Linked DNA regions of Arabidopsis thaliana. The protein of the gene in region 2 interacts with the protein of the main gene of each other region in a biochemical or structural test. Each region holds a gene or a part of one and is shown on either strand. Other genes may lie near its edges.

Region 1 (6,321 bases), on a different chromosome or scaffold from region 2:
ACAAATGTTTGACAACGATCACAAAAATTGTTTAACACCGCGTATTCTTCCGCCAACGTTTGCGGCAGCGGGTGGTTAAAAATTACACTATTTTTAAGTTTTAAATTCAAATAAATTTAATAACTTTTTTGACTCTTGGAGTCATGCTCTGAACACAAATGATTCATTTTCCGGAGAACATAAGTGCATTGTATCCGTCTAATCGTCCCAACATACTTCACTATAAATGTAATTTAATACTAACAATTAAATTGAAGTGTTGTTCGTCGCATGCATGTATGTACGTACAATAATTATATAGTTTCATTATCATAGAACTGTCGGGGAAATTGTGAATCATCACCAGCCGCCACATGAACTTATTTGCCGTTGTTCTGGTTTAAGGCTGGTAAGATTTATTCGGCGGCTGTAGGCCTGTAGCCCTTGAAATATGGTAGACAAGATCGTCCATATAATTAAGATTTTGTTTTTCACTTCTAAATTAATTAATGGGTGACTTGGGCGATTTTGTATTGTTGTTTAGTGGCTAGAAAGAAAACTTTTAACGATAAATTTACTTATGCAAAAATTATATTAGTTTAGTTTAGCAACTTTATATGTACTTAATTAGTAAAATAATACATTTAAATGTAAACTATTTGTACATATTAATGTTGTCCAAACAATATGCACTTTTTGAATTTTTTTACTGTATTCTCCACCTAGTTTTTCTAATTCATCCAAGCATTTTGATGAATTTGCATGTCTCCATAGATGAATTAGTATCTACTATCTCTAAAAACTCAATCTCCACCGAAGATATTGCTTAACCAATGTGCTCCTAGACCAAATCCAAAACCTTAGCCGCTTCATACTTAACATCCACTTTTGTAGCATCCTCAAACTGTTTTACAACCTTTTCAACCGGGACACAATCGCCTTGTCTTAGTAGTGAAGCGTAGGTTAATCATGGATGATGATTTTTGTTCTTTGACAACATCTGGTAAGGTTTTTGGTTTATGGCTCACCCTTTTTACTTTTTCGGTCTTTCTTATATAGTGTTTTGGTGGGTTTTTTCTCGTTCATTTTTCACGACCTTCTTATCCTATTACTAGGGTCATTAAATTGTTCGTTAGGTTAAAGAGATTTACAATATGAAACCGATTATGTCCATTAAAACGTGAATAAGACAGAAAAGAGCACCAAGAAAATGAAAAATAATTTAATGTATGTTCAGGAAATCCTATGAAAACATAATGATTGATCGGGTTTATTGGTTTTGTAGCTGGTGGTTTAAGTGGTTAGGGAAGCTATGTATTTATAATTTATTGATTCAATATGGTTTTGCATCTGAAATATATTTAAGCCCAACCAATAAATATACCATCACTCGCCAAGACCGTTTCTCAGTGGAAACATTTTGTGAGAAGTTCAAGTCGATGTTAATGATTGTAAGGATTTAACGGATGTGATGTTTTTGTAGGTTGAAGATTTAAAGTACTATATGATATGTTGTGTTTTTATCGATTTTGAATCTTTATTTTCTTTCCTAAATCAAAACTGCAATATATTTCCTAAGCTAGCAAAACCCATTCTAGATATAAGTAGAGTCCAGCTTGTAATGCAACTGCAAAGCAAAAATCAAGATATTTCGATACAAGGACTTGATGTCATAAAATTCCAAATTTGTTTTGTCTTGCCACACTTAGTAATTCTCTTCCAATAATGGTTAACTTAATAGTATATAAAATAAAAATGCATATAGGTTCCGTAATTAATCTTCTTTATCGTCACGAGAGGCACATCTTTTTTCAACATTTGACCACTCTCTCTCTCTCTCTCTCAGGACCTTTCGGCGTAATTTCGTCTTCCCCTTTGCTTAACATTTTCTTTCTTTCTTTTTGACCAAATATTAAAAATATATCCATTTTTATTTTATTTTTAATTAAATTCATAATTTGCATTTTATGTATTTATAATAAAAAGGAGAGAATAAATCCAAAAGAGTGAAGCAAAAACATTAAAGCGGAAAGAAAGTGGTAAAACAATAATAGAAACAGGAGAAGCAGAAGTACTACTTCTTCTTCTTCTGCTCTCTTCTCAGACCTTGTTTTGTACTTTCTTCTTCTTCTTCTTCTTCTTGTTTGCGAACTCCGATATCTTCTTCACTACCTTTGACTCCATTTCTTTTTCTTCTTCAGGTGAATTCTACTTTACTTTTCTTCTTACCCCAAATTTACTCTTTTGGGTTTTATGAAAGTTTTGTTTTTTATTACTCAGATCTTGTCCTAGTTCTCCTCCTTGTTCTGTTGTTTTTCTGTTTCGTTTCGAATTGGTTTTGTTTTTCAAGTTTAGGGTTTTGTAGATCAGTTCGTCGTTACTGTAGATTGGAAATGAAAATTATGATTCTTTGGATCTGATTATAGCAGTTCAAGTGTGAACTCTATCTATTACTTGATTTGCTATCTCACAGTTTTTGAATTTCTTAATGGTGTTAGCTACTCGACTTTTAGAGCTCATTTTCTTAACTACTGAACTTGTTTCATTTGAGAGGTACTAATCCAGTATATATTATAAAGTTTAATGCTTTTTCTTACTTGCATTCTTTGAACATGTTTGCTATTTTGGTGAGTGAAACTTTATGTATATTTATGAATTTTGAGCTAAAGTATTGATTGTTTCATAAGTAGGTGTAGGCATTGTCTTGTTATGAGAAGCAACTGTAGCTGGAAGCTCAAGTATTTGTTTTTAGCTGTGGAGCTTGAATCTTGATAGTTTTCGACTTCTATGTTATTACCTGTGGGGATATAGAAACAATCATGGGCTTACTCTGCAGTAGAAGTCGACATCATACTGAAGATACTGATGAGAATACACAGGTTGACTTAAGAGCTCTTGTAACACTCGATGTATGGGAGCATTATTTCTGATACTTCAAGAGTTAACTTGGTTTGTATTAATCTACAGGCTGCTGAAATCGAAAGACGGATAGAGCAAGAAGCAAAGGCTGAAAAGCATATTCGGAAGCTTTTGCTACTTGGTATGTAGACCTTGGATTAGAAATGTGAATGGCATGCCTTGATGAATCTTTTGGTAATAGTTTTCCTCTAATTTTCTGACTTGTGTTTTGTAAAGGTGCTGGGGAATCTGGAAAATCTACAATTTTTAAGCAGGCAAGTCCACAAGGAAAATTGATTGTACTCTTTACTTAAATTTACTTATGAATCCTGCTAATTGAATGATACAAATTTACTAATTTGCAGATAAAACTTCTATTCCAAACGGGATTTGATGAAGGAGAACTAAAGAGCTATGTTCCAGTCATTCATGCCAATGTCTATCAGACTATAAAAGTATGCAATACTTGAAATGACTGTGTCGGTTTTATCCTTCTAATTGGCGGTGTTTTCGAGTTCTTTTGGATTTACAATCTAGAGAATCATTTATATGAGTAATCAAATTTTTTTCATATGTTGATCTTGGTATATTGTACATGTAGCTTAATAGCTACTCTATATTGTTGAACAGTTATTGCATGATGGAACAAAGGAGTTTGCTCAAAATGAAACAGATTCTGCTAAATATATGTTATCTTCTGAAAGTATTGTAAGTGGTTAGATTCATAGGTCACTTGAGCTGTCTTTGTTAGAGTTTTGAGTCTTGTGAGTACCTTGTCTTATGGTAGTCAACTTATTATCGTAATATCAGGCAATTGGGGAGAAACTATCTGAGATTGGTGGTAGGTTAGACTATCCACGTCTTACCAAGGACATCGCTGAGGGAATAGAAACACTATGGAAGGATCCTGCAATTCAGGTGTGTTTGTGTGTGTGTGTGCACGTTTTATTTACTATTGCACTCAAAGTTGAATACATGATTTAAACGTTTCATTTTGTAGGAAACTTGTGCTCGTGGTAATGAGCTTCAGGTTCCTGATTGTACGAAATATCTGATGGAGAACTTGAAGAGACTATCAGATATAAATTATATTCCAACTAAGGTATAACCAAAGTATCATTCTTTGTTGAAAACATTTCAAGTAATGATCTTAAAATGGTTGAATAAAACTCATTGGATCAGCCTCGGAGGATCAATGTATTAACAAACAGAAGCCTTTTGCTTTCCATATTAGCCTAGTTGAGCTAGCATTTTCAGAGACCAGAGTCAATATGCAATTTCTGTGACATGTGTCTTCCGGAATGTGTTGTCATTGGTGCATTTTTTCTATGTTGGTGTTTCAGGAGGATGTACTTTATGCAAGAGTTCGCACAACTGGTGTCGTGGAAATACAGTTCAGGTACCAACTACTTTTTGTTTTACCCTTTTTCCTGTTTGATTGTTAGTCTTTCATAGATGAGTAATTGTTTGATAAGCTCTAAGTGTTAGTCTGGTTCACTAGGCAATATGATTAGCTAGGCGGTTTGTAGTAGCTGTGTTAACAGCTCAGCAACAATCTTGTTAATGTAGTCTCTCTGCGATGTGTAAGTTATTTGGTGAAATGAATAAAAGTGTTTACGGATTCGATTCCTATGATTGCCACTAAGATGTACTAATAGAACATATGAATTCCATACCAATATCAAACTTGTTGTTGTGGTGAATCTACTTGTAATGATCCGTTACCAAAGATGAATTCACAAATGGTATATGAGATAAAGCTTCGTTTATGCAGCCCTGTGGGAGAGAATAAAAAAAGTGGTGAAGTGTACCGATTGTTTGACGTGGGTGGACAGAGAAATGAGAGGAGGAAATGGATTCATCTGTTTGAAGGTGTAACAGCTGTGATATTTTGTGCTGCCATCAGCGAGTAAGCTCACTTCATTATAAATTATAAGATATCCTCGTACTGTCCACATATTGCCAAAACATTAACTGAGTTTTGATCATAGGTACGACCAAACGCTCTTTGAGGACGAGCAGAAAAACAGGATGATGGAGACCAAGGAATTATTCGACTGGGTCCTGAAACAACCCTGTTTTGAGGTTTTTAGTTACATTTTTATCTCATCTTTTAAAAATTTAAAGACACTCTTGAGATGGGTTTGGTTACAAAAACTTGGTTCTCTTTACGCAGAAAACATCCTTCATGCTGTTCTTGAACAAGTTCGACATATTTGAGAAGAAAGTTCTTGACGTAAGAAGAACTAAAGCATATTTATTTGTTTTGATAGGCAAGCAAGTCTTTTTGTTCAATAACGCTTTCTTATTCAATGTGCATAGGTTCCGTTGAACGTTTGCGAGTGGTTCAGAGATTACCAACCAGTTTCAAGTGGGAAACAAGAGATTGAGCATGCATACGAGTAAGCTTGTCTCCAAACTTTACTGATTCCCGCCAAACTGTTACCGTTATATGACCTTATTTTTAATTTGGATTCAGGTTTGTGAAGAAGAAGTTTGAGGAGTTATATTACCAGAACACGGCGCCGGATAGAGTGGACAGGGTATTCAAAATCTACAGGACGACGGCTTTGGACCAGAAGCTTGTAAAGAAAACGTTCAAGCTCGTAGATGAGACACTAAGAAGGAGAAATTTACTGGAGGCTGGCCTTTTATGACCTTATTATTACATATCTCTAGTAAATTACCTCTCCTTATTATTATAAGAAAAACTCGAAAACTGAATGACCGTGTAATTTATCTTTCGGGACAAAAGACTTAGCGATTCAAAATCTAATGTGTCTCGATGGCTACGACTAGTTTCTATTTTATCATTGTTTTTGTTAACATTCCTCTGTCTTTGACTTCTTATTTTTTTTTCTCATCAAAAACATCTCATTTTGATCTTGTTTTTGGGGTTATATTATTATTAAAATGAGGCATCCACATCCCGAAATCTAGAAAGTGAAACACAACACAAAACGTAACTTTATCAGTACTAAAAAGTTTTGGAATGTTCCTAACATGAAAAAGTTCTTACATTAAAAAAAAGTATGGGGGTGAAACTGAACAAATACAAAATATGATGTAAAAACTGAAATAAAAGTAAAACACATGGGGTCTACCGTGATTTCAGAACATTCGAAAAAGCGACTTTAAAAATAATTGCACCGAAGAAAGAAGAACCCTGAAAGCAAAAAACTCTTCGCCGTTGTTGTTTCTTACGTCAAAGAATATTCCTTCTTCTCTTTCGTTAATAGATCCCAAAAAAAAAAAAAAGCTTCATTGATTCTTCTTCCTCTGTTTTTGATTCCGTTTTCGAGCAATCCTCTGAAACATGTATGTTGTTGTTCTCTCTTTCTTCCAATGGTGTTCTGATTTTGCTTTTTCTGTTATACGATAATGATAACAATCGCTTCTTAGTTTGATTAATACGAAACTCTCAAAGATCACGAAATTGGTTTT
Region 2 (6,087 bases):
CTGCTATTGTTAACACTCTTGCTGATGAGATTAAGGATTTGAAGAAAGATGGTGCGAAAGACGTGGAGAGGGTACAAGTAAAGATAGGTGTTACTGTCTCGAGGTTTCCCGGTGAAGATGATCACGTAGATGTGCAAGTGCAACTTGCGGTTGCTCCAGCGAACGATGAGGCGGTGGAGATGCACTTGGAGACGCTTGTTGTTGAGAATGAAGGCTATTGTGTGATATGCATGGATAATATCCGAGTTGGGTCAGATGTGGAAGCGGGTCGAATGCCGTGTTCGCATGTGTTTCATCGTACTTGTGGAGAGGAATGGCTTAGGAACAGTGGGATTTGTCCGGTGTGTCGTGCCCTGTTTCCGGCTTAAAACTTTAAAACCCCTTTTGTATTAGTTTTGTGCTATATGAACCCTAGTTTCATGCTTTATCTCTAGATTGTCACTTTCACTTTTCTAATGAAGTATGTTTTACCTAGTTCATTGCTATTTTTGTTTAAACTTTGATGTGAAACACACTAAATAAAAAGAAAAGGATCAGATATAAGATTCATAAGTCCAAAGGTACATAACAACAACAAAACAAGATCACAAAGCTACATTCTCTCACCACGTCATTGTACGAATATAAAAACCAAAGGGGTAAAGAAGTGCATCATCATAACAACCATTTGACTTCTTAATTCTAAAGGTAGACACTCAAGTTTTATTCAAAGCTACAACAGCAGCAAAGCAGAGAGGGAGAGAGAGATCATTACTTGACATGCTTAGTGAGATTAGGTTGTAAGGATTGGAGGCAGGTAGTCTGATTTGGTGCCGAGGATACGGGCCTTTGTGTCCGGGAAGAATTCAAATCCTGGAAGCTCAGTGATGTCGCCTTCGCTGGCTACACCGATCGGGTAGCGGAGCAAGTGACCAGGAAGGTCATGTTCGAGTGACTCACTTGAGTAAAAGTCCCAATACTTGTCAGAAATGCGGTTAACTTTCTCAATGCATTCCAAGCTTGATGGATCGAGGAAGGTTTCATCGAGCATTCCCAGGTGTTCGTACCAGAGTGACATACGAAACCCATGGATCTGGCCACGAGCTGGTTGTCTATGGGACAAGTGATGTGGTTGATAACCTCCCATTGCTATCTCAGAGTCTCTTGCACCGTCCATTGACCTCTGGTTGATGTTAGCAGACCCAATGATAATGTATTCATCGTCAACTGCAAAATGGATTTCATCAAATGAATCAGGCACAACATTTATGTATACTTCTCAAGTTTTTTTCCGTTGAAATGTGAACTTACCGATCATCATTTTGGTGTGGACGTAAATCATGAAACGGCGTGCTTCTTGCGCCCTCATGTAATCAGTGTCGGGGTCTGGTTTCTCAGCAGGCTCATACTCTCCATCTTTCTTGACCTCACGGTTTCCAAGACAGAAGAATGTCAGATAGTTTCTTGGATCTTCCTCAAGACCCTGGGCCCTGAGAGCCTGAATCACATCCTTGTACATCATCTCCATGGTCCTCCTCTGCCAGTCTAATATAGCTTGCACTGATCCACTCTCTGGGAGACCTTCTGGCCACATTGGAACCACAACATAGACCCTGAACTTCTCTCCTTTCTCAATCTTGCTAACTATCTTCAGCGACAACTCTTTTGGGATTAAGTGCAGGGCATTGATGTCCTCAGGAGTAATACCATCGGCTGCCCAAGCAAAAGAACTCCCAAGGAAGTACTGGTTTTCAACGTAGATGAAATCCTTAGCACGTCTGATTGCATGAATGTAAGCATCTTGGATACTCCTATCAATGATGTTATCTTTCCCACTTACAAGCCCGGCTTCCGCAGCAGCTTCAGGCGACTCGGGAAACCCAGCAGCAGCTCCTCCATCAATGGACCTAAACAATTGGACATTCCACACATCGTGGTCCTCTTGGAACATAACAGGAGAAGGGGTGATAATAATATCACTAAGATCTCTCAACTTAACCAGAATGTCTTTACCACCCTGCTTGCTCCATCTCTGCTCGAAGTTGTACATGACATCCCAAGCAATTGGACCTTCAAGACGGGAGTGAATGTCATGCCAAGGCTCCCTTGGACCACCTTTAGTGATAGCAGCACCAGTGAAGTTAGGTTGATGGAAGTCATCATGGTGGACTGTGTCCAATGTCCTGAACAAGGAGTGGAACGGAGTGTCGTATCTTCCATCACAAAGATCAATACCGCCAACAAAACTCACAATTCTCCTCATTTCTGATCCTCCTCTGCTTGGCATCTCGCTGTCCACAACAACGATTTTCTGATGATGCGTGAACATAGTAGAGATCTGCAAACTTTGGACTATGCTACCACCGTCATCCGGGTTACGAGGGCACAGAATACAATGGACATCACTTCCCCTGAAGAAATTCTCGGTCTCTTCATCATGAGTAGCCATGAGCCCATCTTTCTTCAGCACATCAACAGAAGTTCTGTCATCCCAAACAAGCAAAAGAACCCTGACACCTTCACTAGCCTTCTTCTTGAGTAGCTCACCAATGGTCACATCACCTCCAGGCTTAGGCCTCCTCGAGTCCCTCACTAAAGCAATCTCAGCGTAAACAGACCAACCAGTAATGTAGATCAAGTGTTTTGCATTGCTAATAGCATCAAAAATATCCTCCCAACATCTTTGAGGCTCATAGTTCTTCCCTCCAGCGAGAGGAATTCTAGGGACAAAGTTGTCTGGAATATGAGCATCTTGGTACAGAGAAACTTTGCAGCCTTGTCTCTGCGAGAAGAATGTGTATGGCACTCCAGGGAACTTGGCACTTTTGATACCCATGTTCCAGTTACGATCCTCCTCAACATGGAAATATTGAAGCTTGACATGAATCTTTGATCCTCCCTGAATAGGGTTTCTGTCATTATCCAAGATCTCAACCCACTGATCCACTTCCTCGCCGTTAATGACTTGATCAACAGGAATGTAAGCTCTTCCGATAAGGGTAGCTCCAATGGGATTATCATCTTTAACAGTGAAGATGATATCAGAAGCCAAGTGAGCACAGTAAATATGAAACGACTCATACCACTTTGGGTTCTTAGGTTCATTTTTGATCTTCCTGGTTCTCCCAACTCTAGCTTTTTGCAGATCAATCGTCGCATACAACTGTGTTTCTCCTTTACCAACACCAATCGTCTCTTCTACATTTGCCAGAATCTGAAAGTTTCATCAGAAAAATAAAGATCAAACTGTGTATTAGTCCACAGACTAATTTGAACTACAAAATAAGACGTCAGGATTGGCGCAAAAATGATGCAATAACAATGGATCTTATTATACCTTGCCAAGGAAGCCTTGCCTAACACCACCACCATGGAGGGCATCAACTTCATAGATGGTAGCATGTAAAGTCCCGTGCAACAGATGCTGCGCCATTTTTTCACCTTTAGCAATAAGAATTGACCAGAACACAATATTAGTTTCTGAAAAAACTAAAAAAAAAGAAAAGCGAGATCTACGAATCTCAAAGATCTGGTATCAAAATTTTAGAGCAGCTAAATTTTCGCAGTATTGTCCTAAAAACAAGGAACACTAGTTGAATAGTGAAACTAAAGTCACTGATCTAACTCAAAACTAAAGATCGTATCAGTGTAACACTAGAGGACAATAGCAAATGAACCCGATCGTTGATTATCCAAAAAGAAAAAAAAAAAAGTCAGCGAGTTCCACTTATCTCACAAAACAAAGAACCACCTAAATGATCAAACGAGTTTTAATCGCAAAACAAGTAAAGAGAAACATAAAGATAAAATGAATGAGATTCATAGAGATGAAGTAGAGAAATACTAACTTCGAATTATTCCCAGAAACTGAGATCTGATCGGAGAAACTCAATCGTTCGGTGGTCAGAAGAAGAATTCGGGATCTGGTCCGTGATGGAAGCTCTTTAAGAGCTACTTTGTGGAGCTGCTGTAATTTAATTGGAGCGTGTGGGGCCACTTTTTCATTATTTTCTACAGATCTTTGATGATTTAATAGTGACCCAACGTACGAATTGTTATTAGTTTCAGCCCTACACGTTTTTAGTTTCACAATTAGGCCCTAAATAGTTACTCTCAAGAGATTCCTTTCAATTTATAACTTATAATATATAGTTAATGTTACTAGATAACGATATAATTGTGGTTGGATTATGTTATCTCACATCCTAATAGTAATATTTTACGTTACATCTAAAATTATATAATAGAGTGAAAAAGATAAAATGGAAAGTTTAGTGACTAATTGAAAATCTTGAAAAGTTTTAAGAAGGCCGACATAAAAAAAGGAAATAAATATTCAAAGTTGTAATAAAATCCCTGACTTGAGGATAGGGGAGACAAAAAAAAAAAAGAGATATCCAAATCGTGCGCCCGACGTTCTGCATCCAAACGTTACGACATCGTTTCCCAAGCTGAATCCTCACCGTCCATCACAAGAAAACTATATGGTGTACTTTTCTCAAGTAGTACGTGTTCGCATAATGACATGAATTCACTAGCAATAATTTAATTGCTTCATCATTGGATCTCACACATCTTCGCTATAAGATTGGGTAGTTTTTTTTTTCGTTTTTTTTGGGTAAAGAAGAATGTGATAGTTGTATAAAATATTACTCCTCATAAACGGAACGTGGCCACATGGGGATTATACAATGTATTTGCATTCTCTGGTATCTAATAAGTTCTAATGTACTAACCATCAGCAAAACCGTCAATCATAAAAATGCGGTGAAGAACAGATCAGAGGTGTCTCATATATGGGGATCAAAGGGAAAATTAAGACAGTATTGGCAACTCGGCGTAATGCTAAATTGTAACACAATGGTAGGATACAAGGGAGCTTATTTTGGAGCTTATTCCCCTATCTATGTTTATTATTTAGCAATGCTCACGGCAAGGTTTCTGATACGCAGCCACCGCTCACCGGTGACTTGTCTGAAAAATCTGGACTTAAAATAACCCAATTCCTTTGTTTTGCTTCTATATTAGCTTATTTTAGAAAATAGGACTTTTGAATTTTAGTTGACCCAAGGAAAAAATGAAGAAGGGACGTAGAAACTAGAAATTTAGGTGCTATTGATATTTGAATATGGGCCATAATTGGGCCTGGTGATTTAACATTCTGTACACGTATTTAGGCCTGTATCTTGGAATGATTTTTTTTTTTTGTGGTAGGGTAAAACTTGGAATGAAATTTAGGTGCACCTATTGATATTGTCCGACTGTCTGAACTGAATTTGATAAGTAGTACGTGAATCTTTAACTGTTTAGTAGGAAAAAAAAGAAAAAAAATCAAAAGAATATTACTATAATTAAACTACAATAAGTACATAATTAGTTTTTTTTTTTTTCTTATAAGCAAAAAGAAAAAAGCTAAAATAGAAAACCCAAAAGCGAAGCCGAAGAAAAGAAACTAAAAGCGAATCATGAAAGTCAAAAATAGACAGAAAAGATAAGAACATCTCCATCAGTAGTCTCTAGTATGGTTTTTCACTAACTAAAAAATATAAAATAATAATAAAGTAGGAGAGAGAGAAAAGTAAATAATAGGTTACATTTTAATAGGTTAAATTATTATTTTCAGAATAATTATTTAAGTAAATAATAATATTATATGATAATAATTAAAAAACAATATTTTAAGATAATCCACCTAATTTTACCGTTGAAGATGGCCTAAGAAGCAAACACAAGTTTCTTCGGATAGATTATATAAATGTTTTTTGGCTCAACATCTTCTTCAAACTAAAAGTTTGAAAGGAATTACTAATTAGTTATACGATCCGGTTTATCAATCACAACAGATAACCGTCGTCATATAAAACCAAGGAACTAGAATCGGGAAAGCGTAATGATATGAGCTACTTTATTCGCTGCCCGTTCACAAGTTCTAGGTCTGCAAACCAATAAACTTTGTCATTCACTGCTCTCTAGGTCTGAAAACCAATAAACTTTGTCACTCGCTTACATAATTTACAAGTTTCTAGGACTGAAAACCAATAAACTTTTGTCAAAAGAAGACAAATTTAGCATGATATCTTTTTGCTAGGATTGAACATGTCACACTCG

What was found. Proteins that work in one complex are often made in the same cells at the same time.
Region 1: the proteins of PLDALPHA1 (region 2) and GP ALPHA 1 form a complex in vitro, tested with the Arabidopsis thaliana proteins (one study listed by BioGRID).

The regions. Positions count from the first base shown.
Region 1 is NC_003071.7:11,195,289-11,201,609, forward strand, and holds GP ALPHA 1 (G protein alpha subunit 1), read left to right. Parts: upstream 1-1,707; 5' UTR 1,708-2,180; exon of another isoform or gene 2,181-2,532; intron 2,533-2,669; 5' UTR 2,670-2,798; coding exon 2,799-2,858; intron 2,859-2,946; coding exon 2,947-3,019; intron 3,020-3,114; coding exon 3,115-3,152; intron 3,153-3,242; coding exon 3,243-3,332; intron 3,333-3,507; coding exon 3,508-3,585; intron 3,586-3,687; coding exon 3,688-3,795; intron 3,796-3,877; coding exon 3,878-3,979; intron 3,980-4,220; coding exon 4,221-4,276; intron 4,277-4,651; coding exon 4,652-4,786; intron 4,787-4,868; coding exon 4,869-4,962; intron 4,963-5,053; coding exon 5,054-5,113; intron 5,114-5,199; coding exon 5,200-5,279; intron 5,280-5,356; coding exon 5,357-5,534; 3' UTR 5,535-5,814; downstream 5,815-6,321. UniProt on the Arabidopsis thaliana protein: Exhibits a fast rate of basal nucleotide exchange. Guanine nucleotide-binding proteins (G proteins) are involved as modulators or transducers in various transmembrane signaling systems.
Region 2 is NC_003074.8:5,328,160-5,334,246, reverse strand, and holds PLDALPHA1 (phospholipase D alpha 1), read right to left. Parts: upstream 4,054-6,087; 5' UTR 3,828-4,053; intron 3,421-3,827; 5' UTR 3,413-3,420; coding exon 3,317-3,412; intron 3,194-3,316; coding exon 1,291-3,193; intron 1,207-1,290; coding exon 773-1,206; 3' UTR 502-772; downstream 1-501. Other genes in the region: AT3G15740 (RING/U-box superfamily protein), read left to right, coding at 1-368. UniProt on the Arabidopsis thaliana protein: Hydrolyzes glycerol-phospholipids at the terminal phosphodiesteric bond to generate phosphatidic acids (PA).